Rattus norvegicus: one gene and its partners. The protein of the gene in region 2 interacts with the protein of the main gene of each other region in a pairwise test. Links are inferred from orthologs where the notes say so. Each region holds a gene or a part of one and is shown on either strand. Other genes may lie near its edges.

The links. The genes of interacting proteins can lie anywhere in the genome.
Region 1: the proteins of Nme7 (region 2) and Fosl1 interact in binary tests that used the Homo sapiens proteins (3 or more experiments, as listed by UniProt). The two-hybrid records come from large-scale screens. The link is inferred for Rattus norvegicus from reciprocal best matches to the Homo sapiens genes NME7 and FOSL1.
Region 3: the proteins of Nme7 (region 2) and Fkbp6 interact in binary tests that used the Homo sapiens proteins (3 or more experiments, as listed by UniProt). The two-hybrid records come from large-scale screens. The link is inferred for Rattus norvegicus from reciprocal best matches to the Homo sapiens genes NME7 and FKBP6.

The regions. Positions count from the first base shown.
Region 1 is NC_086019.1:212,189,767-212,193,025, reverse strand, and holds the end of Fosl1 (fos-related antigen 1), read right to left. Parts: intron 2,152-3,259; coding exon 2,044-2,151; intron 1,663-2,043; coding exon 1,246-1,662; 3' UTR 635-1,245; downstream 1-634.
Region 2 is NC_086031.1:79,224,827-79,228,581, reverse strand, and holds part of Nme7 (nucleoside diphosphate kinase 7), read right to left. Parts: intron 1,982-3,755; coding exon 1,774-1,981; intron 1-1,773. UniProt on the Homo sapiens protein: Possesses an intrinsic kinase activity. Displays 3'-5' exonuclease activity with a preference for single-stranded DNA. Does not seem to have nucleoside diphosphate kinase activity.
Region 3 is NC_086030.1:26,962,510-26,966,264, forward strand, and holds part of Fkbp6 (inactive peptidyl-prolyl cis-trans isomerase FKBP6), read left to right. Parts: intron 1-3,090; coding exon 3,091-3,285; intron 3,286-3,644; coding exon 3,645-3,754; intron 3,755-3,755. UniProt on the Homo sapiens protein: Has an essential role in spermatogenesis. It is required to repress transposable elements and prevent their mobilization, which is essential for the germline integrity.

The sequences.
Region 1 (3,259 bases), on a different chromosome or scaffold from region 2:
CTTGCTGGGTGGTTGGGTGGGGACTAATAAACTGGGAAGGAAGCAGAGCCTGAAGCCTGCCAGCTTGTGTCTGGAACTCGCCGGGGTTGGGAAGAGGGCGGAAACCCAGAGATGCGGTGCAGTTCCCATCGGCGGTGCTGCAGAGCTAGGGCTGACTCCCCATCACCTGGATTTGGGGTGGGATTTGAGACTGTGGTAGATCACTAACTCCCCCGATGGGCGCCAAGACAGGCCGAAATCCGGCCACTGAAGTGGCTCCAGCTCCCTTCCAGGCTCCTTCCTGTCCAAAACAATGGGACAGGAAGCAGGTGTTGGGGGCCTAAAGCCCACTGAGCCCGCCTGGTCAGATGGTGGAAGGATATACTGCCGTCCTTCCCTGCCCCCAGTCCTTAAGACAGAAGTAATGTGGGTTCCCATGGGGAAAATAATTGATAATCTTCTTTGCTTGCACTCCAAAGCATTCTCAATCTCTCAGTACAGGCAGAACAGAGGTAGCCCCATTCTTCAGGTGAGAATATTGAAGTCCAAAAACATATATGGCAGTTTCTTCAAGGTCACAGCTAAGACTGGAACCTGGAGCTCCTGTTCCAAATGGTTTCCTTTAGCCTCTGGATCCAACATGACAACTCAGACTAGAGCTTCAAGCCTTTTATTCCATTTTGGAAGGTTTGTATAAAAATAGTCTCTTTAGGAAAATAAATAGCAGCTGCCCTTGCTGTGGAGGCTTGGATACCCCAGAGCTAAAAGCTTCTCAGAGCTAGGGAGTACAGCTCAGCTCATCACAGAAGCTGTTGGTGCCTCCTGATCAGGAGGAGCCTACAGGGTGTCCTGGTGCTGCTGGCTGTTGGTGCTGTGTGAGTTAGTGTTCTAGGCTAGTTAAAGGGCACCTTCTATCTAGGCTTAGAGTAGGCTGGATAACATGAAGAAAGTGACATGGTGTGGGAAAGTGGTCTGCAAGGCATCAAAGGACCACTGGGGATCTACAAAGTCAGAGCTGCCAGGCTTACTCTGGCAGAGGGGACATATTTTCTCTGTATGCAAATTATGATAGGCCAGCTCTAGAGAAACAGTGAGCAGCTTTGGGGACCCCCAAGCTGGCTCTATATCAAAGCATAACATGTTTGTTCTACTTGAAAGAGATAAAAGACCTGCTGGTTTGGGGCATGGGTATGGTCCAGGCCTGCTGGATGAACAGGGAAAGGAGATGACAACGGGTAGCACCTGCAAGGGGTGTGGCTGGGTGCCTCACAAAGCCAGGAGTGTGGGAGAACCTAGGGGGTCGGAGGAGGGGTCACCACTGCTGCTGCTACTCTTTCGATGGGCTGAGGAACAAGGCTCTGGTGTGCTAGGATAGGTGAAAACCAGACTCGGAGTAAAAGGAGTCAGAGAGGGTGTGGTCATGAGCGTGGGGGTATGCAGTGCTTCCGGTTCAAGTACGGGTCCTGGAGAAAGGGAGATACAAGGCACTGGGCGGCAGGGGCCCGGTGGGCTACCCGCCCCACTCGTGCTGCTGGTACCACCTGTGTCCTTCTTGTCTTCTTCTGGGATTTTGCAGATGGGGCGATGGGCTTCCAGCACCAGCTCAAGGCGTTCCTTCTGCTTCTGCAGCTCTTCGATCTCACGCTGCAGCCCCGATTTCTCATCCTCCAACTTGTCGGTCTCCTTTACAGGATTAGCAGAAAGTTAGGAAAATGAAGGCTAAAGATCTCCAAGCCTCAGGCTGGAGTAGGGATTGTGCCTGGAATCCCCAACAAGTCTGGACTGCAACTCCCATGAGCCCCTGGGAGAAAATGGGCATGACTCCCATCAGGCCCAAGCGTCTTAGGAGATTTGCCTACCAACTAGGACTCTGCATTGAAGCCCAAGACAAACAATAGTTAAGCCACTTTCCCTTATCCTTTTTCCAGGACTTCCCCTCGGACAGGGAGGAAGGCAGAGTGTGGAAGAGTAACTTATTGGGTCTCTTATGTTCCTGGGAGCCGAGGCCCCTCTTAGGCTCGGTGGTTCCGGGCCTGGGGACCCTCTGTATCAGATGATGCTCACCGCCTGCAGGAAGTCTGTCAATTCCTTTCTTCGGTTTCTGCACTTAGCAGCTGCTAGCTTGTTCCGCTCTCGTCTCACCCTGCGGCGCTCTTCCTCCTCCGGGCTGATCTAGGTTGGGAGAGAAGGGGGACAATGAGGCTGACCCTGAGCCACCAGCTGCCCTGAGCTGGCCATCCAACTTTCCTTCAGCCTGTAGTTTAGGTACCCACACTCCACAGTTGTTTCTGTGTACCAGCGGCTGGTCACCTCATAGATGACATTCCCAGCCACACCTGGCTTTACTGCTGGTTTCTTTCCTGTAATGCTTTCCCTCTCCATAAACTTTGACCTTCCTCATCTTAGGACTGGACTAAGATGTTGGGACCCCAGGAGGCCTTCTCATCTCTCAGGCTGAAGTAGTCATCCCTCCTGAGTGTGTGAGACATGATTATCTCTTTTTTTTTTTTTTTTTTTTTTTTTTTTTTTTTGGTTCTTTTTTTTCCCGGAGCTGGGGACCGAACCCAGGGCCTTGCGCTTCCTAGGCAAGCGCTCTACCACTGAGCTAAATCCCCAACCCCGATTATCTCTTTTTACAGAACTCTCTCAGCCTTCTCATCTGTGGAAGATGAGATTTCTTTCCCCACAGGAGCTATGAATGGTAGAAGGTGCCCTTGAGTGCCAAAAGTTACTAGCAAAGCAATTTCTAGGACTTTCGTTTAGTGCTAGGGATCAAACCCATGGCCTGGTGCAGGCTAGCAAATGCTCTACCACTGAGTTACAGCCCTTACATAGGTTTTTTTTTTCCTGCTTTTCAGTTTTGTTTCTTTGTACTTTAGACAGAATCTCTGAGTAGCCCTGCCTGGCCTTGAAGTTGATTTATAGACCAGGCTAGCCTGGGACCCACAGAGACCCACCTGCCTCTACCACCCAGGTGAAGATGTGTGCTGCCACATCTGGCATGTGTCCCAGGCTGGCCTTAAACTCAACATGTAGGCAAGACTGGCCTCAGACCCCCATTCCTCGACCTCCACCTCCTAAGTGTTAGGAGCCTTGTGTCAGCCTCCGTCCCCCATCCCTTTGGTCTTCCCTGTGTAGATTCTTTTTGTTGTTGTTTGCTTTGTTTTTAAAGCAGGGTTTCTTTTCATAGCTCTGACTGTCATGGAACTCACTCTGTAGACCAGGCTGGCCTCAAACTTCACCCATCCCAAGTGCTGTGATTAAAGGCATGTTTCACACT
Region 2 (3,755 bases):
AGTCAGCCATCTGAATGGACCACGAGGATGTTCACATTAATCAGTTCTTTTAATGACTTAAATGCTGCCCTAAGCAGTTAGCATTATTCTTTCCACTAGGTTCTCCATAAAAACCTGTTCCTTGCTCCAACATCTGCCAGGAGCAAAGGACTCTCTGAATGGGCTCACCTCTACAAAGCTCTCCCTGACACCCCCACCAGCACCATGTATCCATCCCAGCTGTGACTATTCAAGGACTTGTCACCTACTGTAACATTATACATTTGAAGAAAAGGACCAATTTGCAGATCTTACTGGCTTCCAAACACCTAGAACAAAACCTGACTCTGAGTATTTTCTTTTCACTAAATTTATACTTGAAAGATCAAACCTGCCATTCTGGAGACAGAGGCAAAAGGCTAGTAAGTCCCCTGGCCGACAGAACAAGTCCCAGGCCAACTATGGCTACATAGTGAGACCGTGATTCAAGTTTACAATTAAAAAAGTCAAAGATAATAACAGATATGTTAATATGCTATACTAATACATTTTATATTTTATTAGAATACATTAATTATATAGAAAATAGGCCTCCTGGGGACATTTTCATAGAGGTCCACACGCACTGTGATCTTACCAATCCCACGTTACTCTCCCTTTTCCCTCTATCCCATCCTCTTCTCTAATGGTTTCCCTTCTACTTTTATATGTAAATATTCTTTAAAGCATAAGCAAGCGGGAGGAAGAGAATTTACTCAAACACTGTATATATTTGAGTGATTCAGTTGGCAGAACGCTTAAAAATTAATAATTAACTATTATTATTGACTATTAACCTGCTTTGTCACTGTAAGTTAATTTCTATAATTTTATATAGACTTATACAATATATGCTATTTTTTCTAGTTTCTTTCACTCAACAAAAATATTCTGAGATTTCCTTGCTGTAATAATTTCTTTTCCCTTTCTTTTTGACAAATCAGGTACCACAGATGGCTACACGGTGTCTTGTCCATTCAGCCATCTCCTGGGCACCTATGATATTGTAACATGGATTGTCACAAACAAGCTGTTACCAATACTCACATCCAAGCTCCTCACAGGATAATTCTTATTTTTTTTTTTGTTAAAACCTCGATTTTTTTCTTTCTTTTTTAAAGAAACCTTTCTTGCTTTGGAATTTTTAATTACATTTTTATGTTTATCTATGTGTATGTGCATGGGCAGAGGTCAGAGAATAACTTGTGGGAATAAATTTCTCTGCTTCCACCACATGGGCCCCAGGTAACACAGCAGAACATCCGGCTTTGCCGCAAGCGCCTTTACCCACTGAGCTACCTTGCGAGAACAAGACCTAGGGTTCTAGCTTCTTCATGTAAGCTGCATGTTCCAGATCTAGTCACCAGCTTAGTTCACACCACTGCCTCATCTGAATTACAGACTACTCAAATGAAACCTTCGTTTGGAGTATCTACTATAGATCCATAAACTAGTACTCTTAATTTAATTAAGTCACAAACACGAGCCTCGGCAAATTAATCTTTTCCAGAAAGATGGGTGGTAGCAAATGTCAGACTTTGAGAAAACTGCACTGGACAACTGTGACCAACCGTTTTAAAAGGGGGTGTGGCTTGGAAACGGTACCTGAGCCTAGGAAAACTTCACCAGGTTTTCCAGGCTACATCATTAGCTGTTCCAAACCTCCCAAAGTCCTCTGCAGGAGAAATGTTTTACTTTGACACAAGACAATTTCCCAAACAAAGCAGAAGGAAAATATTTCTCAAAACAACTTACTCTGGCAGCGGACTCAAAAGTATCAGAGCCGTGAGCCGCATTTCTTATGCCATCTGTCCCAAAGAGGGCTCGGACGCTTCCGGGGGCTTCTGAACGCGCTATCCCAGAGTTTGCGGGTCCAAGCAACCTTTTCCACTCACATATGGCATCATCTCTCAAGATCTCCATGGCAATAACAGGCCCACTTGTGATAAACTGGATCAGTTCGCTGGGGAGCAGGGAAAAGCCAGTTACTTCTCTACGCTGTCAACCTAGGCATCTGCTTGACAATGAAGGTATGTTAGGACATCATAGTAAGTTCGAGGACTAGCATGTTGTGATCTGTTTCTGATCACAGGGAAGTGTATGAATATGGGAAATCGGCATGAACAGATGCCTTACAGTGACTGAGTCTGCCTCAAAATCGTTACAGGAAATACGACAAGGCCATTTCTGTTTGCAAGGGGAGGGAACACTTGTTGAATTCGGATGATTTCACTGACTTAAAATGCAGACCATTGATCTGATCTTCCCCACTACTCTAAGAAGGAGAAAGGTGATTCCATTCTGTTTTCCAATGGCTCAACGCAGCAGCCATGTAGAGTATTATAATAATACAGTGACAAGCATGGTATTTTGTAATGCTCAAGAACAACTTATTTAATTTTGCAGTGTGTAAGTACTGGAATGCAGAGAGTGACACTCTAAATCAATGTGATAAAGAAAGAGAATGTCAACAGGCTTTCAAAACCAGGCCTGTATTAGGCGAAAACCTGCCCTGGGTAATGGTATCTAAGTGATGGACCAGACACACAGGCTTTTATTGAAGTTTATGTCTGAGTCCCAGCTCCCTGGGAATGAAAAATGACACTCCATTTTATCTTTCTAATCTTTCTATTTCTTCATGTGCACACAATGCAACAATACGTTTAACTTGAAATAAGTGGTGTCCCAGCCTCTTACCTTCTTAAGCAGAGGCAGAACTGACAGGGCCTTCTCAGAGAAAGGAAGACAGGATACAGGCTTACCCGCCTGTCATAGTCACATATGACTACGACTGCACTGCATATAGCTTCTCAACCCGTCATCAATCCCTCCAGTCACTTAATAATGGCTGTGGTGTGTGACAACTGAAGGCCTGGTGGGCTACCGACAAGATATTGATCATGACCAGTGCCAAAGAACCAGCTAATTCATTCCTGGAAACTTTCTGCATATGAATTATATAGACGATATTAAACCAGGTGCTGTGACTTAGGGTTATAAAGACATACAAAGACTCTAAAACAAAGAATAATCGCCAAAAAATGTATATGATAATTCTAACAAAGTTTAGGAATATTTTACAATGTATGATTAAGTCATAAAGCAGTAATTTTATTATATAAATGTTCTTTTTTTTAAAAAAAAGTTATCCTTCTGTGTATGATATCAAATAAAATGTCTACCGCGCCAGGTTGGCTAAAACTTCATTTGTCTTTATTAGAGATTTGTTGAGAAGCCCTTGGTCCTGCCAAGGTTGGACCCCCAATGTAAGAGAATGTTGGGTGGGGGTGCCGGGAGGGGGTGGATGGGGAGAGGAACATCCTTATAGAAGGGGAGGGAGATGGGAAGAGGGGACTTATGTCTGAGAAACCAGGAAAGGGAATAACATTTGAAATGTAAATTAAAAAATCCAATAAAAAAAGAAATGTAAATACATAAAATATCCAAGAAAAATAATTTAAAAATAAAAACCAGAACAATGATCAAGCAAAAACAAAACAAACAAACAAAAAAAAAAAAACCCCACAACCCCCCCAGAAATTTGTCATTCCTTTGTCAATGGCACTGAGTATGCACATTAGTCACTTTAATTACATCCAAAATACTTAGAATAGATGTTAGCTTCTAACATCTATGATTAGCCATTTCCAAAGGAACAAACTACATGTCCTTACTTAGTTCTGTGACTATTGCCTTGTCCATACAAGATATCAGAGTAAAGGCCTTAAGGTACAACA
Region 3 (3,755 bases), on a different chromosome or scaffold from region 2:
CAATCCTGCCTTAGCCTCTCAAGTGCTGGGGCTACAGGCATGAGGCACAAACCCGGCTGTGTCTGTGATTCTATTTGTCTGTCTGAGGCAGAGTCTCTCACTATGTAACCTTAGCTGGCCAGTACTTGCTTTGTAGACCAGGCTGTCCTTGAACCCAGAGAGATACCTGCCTCTGCCTCCCGAGTGCCCGGATAAAAGGTGTGCACCACCATGCCTGGCCTGCGTGCTATCTTGATGCTGTTTTCCTAGGTATATTTTGAGTTACGAAGCTTCATTAAGCAATGCACTTTTTTTTACTTACGTCCATACGTATTTTAGTAATTACCATCCTGGGGAGGTGAGGAAATAGCTCAGTTGGTAAAGAGTTTGAAAGAAAGTATTATGATCTGACTTTGATCCTGAGAATCCATATTTAAAAATGAAGAAAAGGGTCAGGTGTGGTAATGCCTACTTGTAATCCCAGTGCTGGGAGAACAGGCAGGTGGGCTCTGGGACTCCCTGACCAGCCAGTCTAACCCCCTTGGCAAGCTTCAGGCCAGCGAAAGAGGCTGTATCCAAAAGAACAGTGAATGAATGGCTCCTGAGGAGTAATACCTGAGGTTGTCTTCTGGTCTCCACATGCACTTACAGGGACTCGCCCACACATACATTCACACATACAAACGTGTAAATACAAAAACTACTGTTCCCAAAAAGTTAAAATATCCTCATCCAGCACGGCCCTCTCCAGCTGTAGTTGATTTTCTTCATCGTATTTACTCTCTGTGGGATGTCCTGTCCCTCTATGAAGACTGGGTCACTCTGTGGCAGGTCGGGTCTCCAGCTATAGGGCTCTGGGACAAGCAGGTGGGACAGAGGTCTGTTGTGTTCTGGGCTGCGGAAATAGTACTATTTTACACACCCATTAATAGCATTCCACCTGCCCATTCCAGAATCAACAGTTCCATTTCTCCAGGAAACAGATCTGAGCAGGGGATACAGCTCAGTTGGTAAAATTGGCACTCAAGAAACCCTGGGTTCCATTCCCAACATTGTGTAAAACAGGACACAGGAGAACCGGAAGTTGAAATTCAGACTGCACCCATCACTCAGCAGTTAAGAGTGCAGAAGACCTGAGTTCTATTCCTAGCACTCACATCAGGCTGCTCACAACTGACTGCTTAGAACTCCAGCTCCAAGGGCTGCGTTATCGCTAAATGTTATCTCTAGCCTTTATTAGCACCTGCATTCATGTGCATATAATCACAGACAAGCACACAGATACACATGCCTACACATAATTAAAAATAAGAAATTGAATGTTATTCTTGCTACATAGTGAGTTTGAGGCCAGCCTGGGCTATATGAGACGCCATCTCAAAGATTTAAAAAAGGGAAGCTTAGAGTTTTATACCTCTAGTCTTTTTTTTTTTTTTTTTTTGGTTCTTTTTTTTTTTTTTCGGAGCTGGGGACCGAACCCAGGGCCTTGCGCTTCCTAGGTAAGCGCTCTACCACTGAGCTAAATCCCCAGCCCCTACCTCTAGTCTTAATATTTGGGAGGCATAAACAGGCAGATTGCTATGAGGTCAGGGCCAGCCTGGTCTACATATTGAGTAAGTTCCAAGACAACTAGCACTATATAGAGAAACCCTGACTTACAAAAAAAAAAAAAAAAAAAAGCAGAGATATGGCACTGAAAGGATGGTTTAGCAATTTAGAGCATTTCTGTTCCTACACAGGACCCAAGTTCATTTCACTGCACCCATATAGTGTCTCACAACCATTTGCAACTCATAACTTCAGTTCCAGGAGTCTGATGCCCTTTTCTGATCTCTGGGCTCCCAGCATACATGCATACAAACATACAGACAACACATTTATACACATGCTAAAAAAAAAAAGTGAAGAAGCTGGATGTGTTAGCACAAACCTTTAATCCCAGCTCTTGGGGAGGCAGAAGCAGCTTTATCTCTGGGAGTTTGAGGCCAGCCTGGTCTACACAGTGAGCTCCAAGACAGCCAGGTCTGTAGAGAGAGACTGTCTCAAACCCCACCTCCCAGGGTTCTTTTAATTGTGCGAGTGTAGGGTGTGTGCATTTAAAGTGCCGGTGCTGTTAGAGCCCAGAGGCATGGGGTCCCCTGTAGCTGGAATTACTGACAGTGGTAAGCCACCTCACATGGGTGCTGGGACTCCAGCTTGTCCTTGACTCTTGGTGGGTTTATTGTCCTTAATTCTTTGAGGCAAAAAGTAGAGCGTTGTCTGCAGACTGTTGTCTGCCTCATTCAGGTTTGCAGGCCTTCTCCTGTTAGAAACTTTCAAATTGGACTGAAGAGATGTCTCAGTGGTTAGAAGCATGTATTGCTCTTGCAGAGGATCTGAGTTCAATTCCCAGAACGCCCATTAGGCACAAGATGACATGTAACTCCAGTTCCAGGAAGATCTAACGCCCTCTTCTGGCCTCCACAGGCATTGTACTCCTGTGCACATCCTATTCCACAGAGACAGTTTCTTTGTGTAGCCCTGGCTGTCCTACAACTTGCTCTGTAGACCAGGATGATCTGGAACTCGGAGGTCTGCTTGGCTCTGCCTCCAGAATGCTGGGATTAAAAGTATGTGCCATAACCTCTTGGCATATGTCTTAGGGTTTTCATTTCTGTGAAGAGACACCATAACTAAAGCAACTCTTATAAAGGGCAGCATTTAGCTGGGGCTGGCTTACAGGTTCGTTCTGAGGTTCAGTCCATTATCATCATGGCGGGAACATGGCAGCATCCAGGCAGGCATGGTGCAGGAGGAGCTGAGAGTTCTACATCTTGTTCCAAAAGCAAACAGAAAACTTGTCTTCCAGGCAGCTAGGAGGAGGGTCTCAAAGCCCACCCCACAGTGACACACCTACTCCAACAAGGCTACTCCCTGAATTAAGCATGTTCAGACCTCCACAGCACATATCCGTAATTTAAAGGAATGCAAATAAATCTTAAGAAGCCTTTTGACTTTAATATGACATGTCTTGTGAGCTAGTTGAGTTCTTTCTTAGATCAGTAGTTCTGTGTGACTTGTAGGGATGTAGGACTGTCCCTCCTGACCCTTTGCCTTCCCTCCTCTCTCCAGGCCTTGTTGCTGCTCCATCGACGCTTGGCCATCTGTGAGGAGCAGCACTTGGTAGAACCTGCTGAGCTCCTAGTCCTCCTTAACCTTTCATTTGTGTACCTGAAGCTAGACCGCCCTGCTATGGCCCTGCGCTATGGGGAGCAGGCTCTGCTCATTGACAAAAGGAACGCCAAAGCCCTCTTCAGGTGTGGACAGGTGAGTTGAGGGTAGTGGGGAGAGGGGCTGGGACAGCAACTCAGTAAAGTACTTACCAGGCATGCAAGTCTGAGAGCCTGAGTTCATTTTCCAGGACCCGCAGTGCTAGAACCCAGCATTAGGGAGGCAGAGACAGGTAGACCCCTGGAGTTCCCTGGCCAGTCAGCCTACATGAATTGGTGAGCCCTGGATCCCGAAGGAGGACCTTATTTTGAAAACTAAGGTGGGCTGTTCCCGAGACGGAAGCCAGGTTTACCTCCGGTCTCCATTCACATGTGTGCTCCCACACAGAGCAGGAGGGCTCACGTGGGCTACTACCACAAATGCTAATCCCCTAATGTCTTGTCCTTTCTTCACAGGCTTGCCTCCTCCTGACCGAGTATGAGCAGGCTCGGGACTTTCTAGTGAGAGCTCAGAAGGAGCAGCCCTGTAACCATGACATCAATAATGAGCTGAAGAAGCTGTCCAGG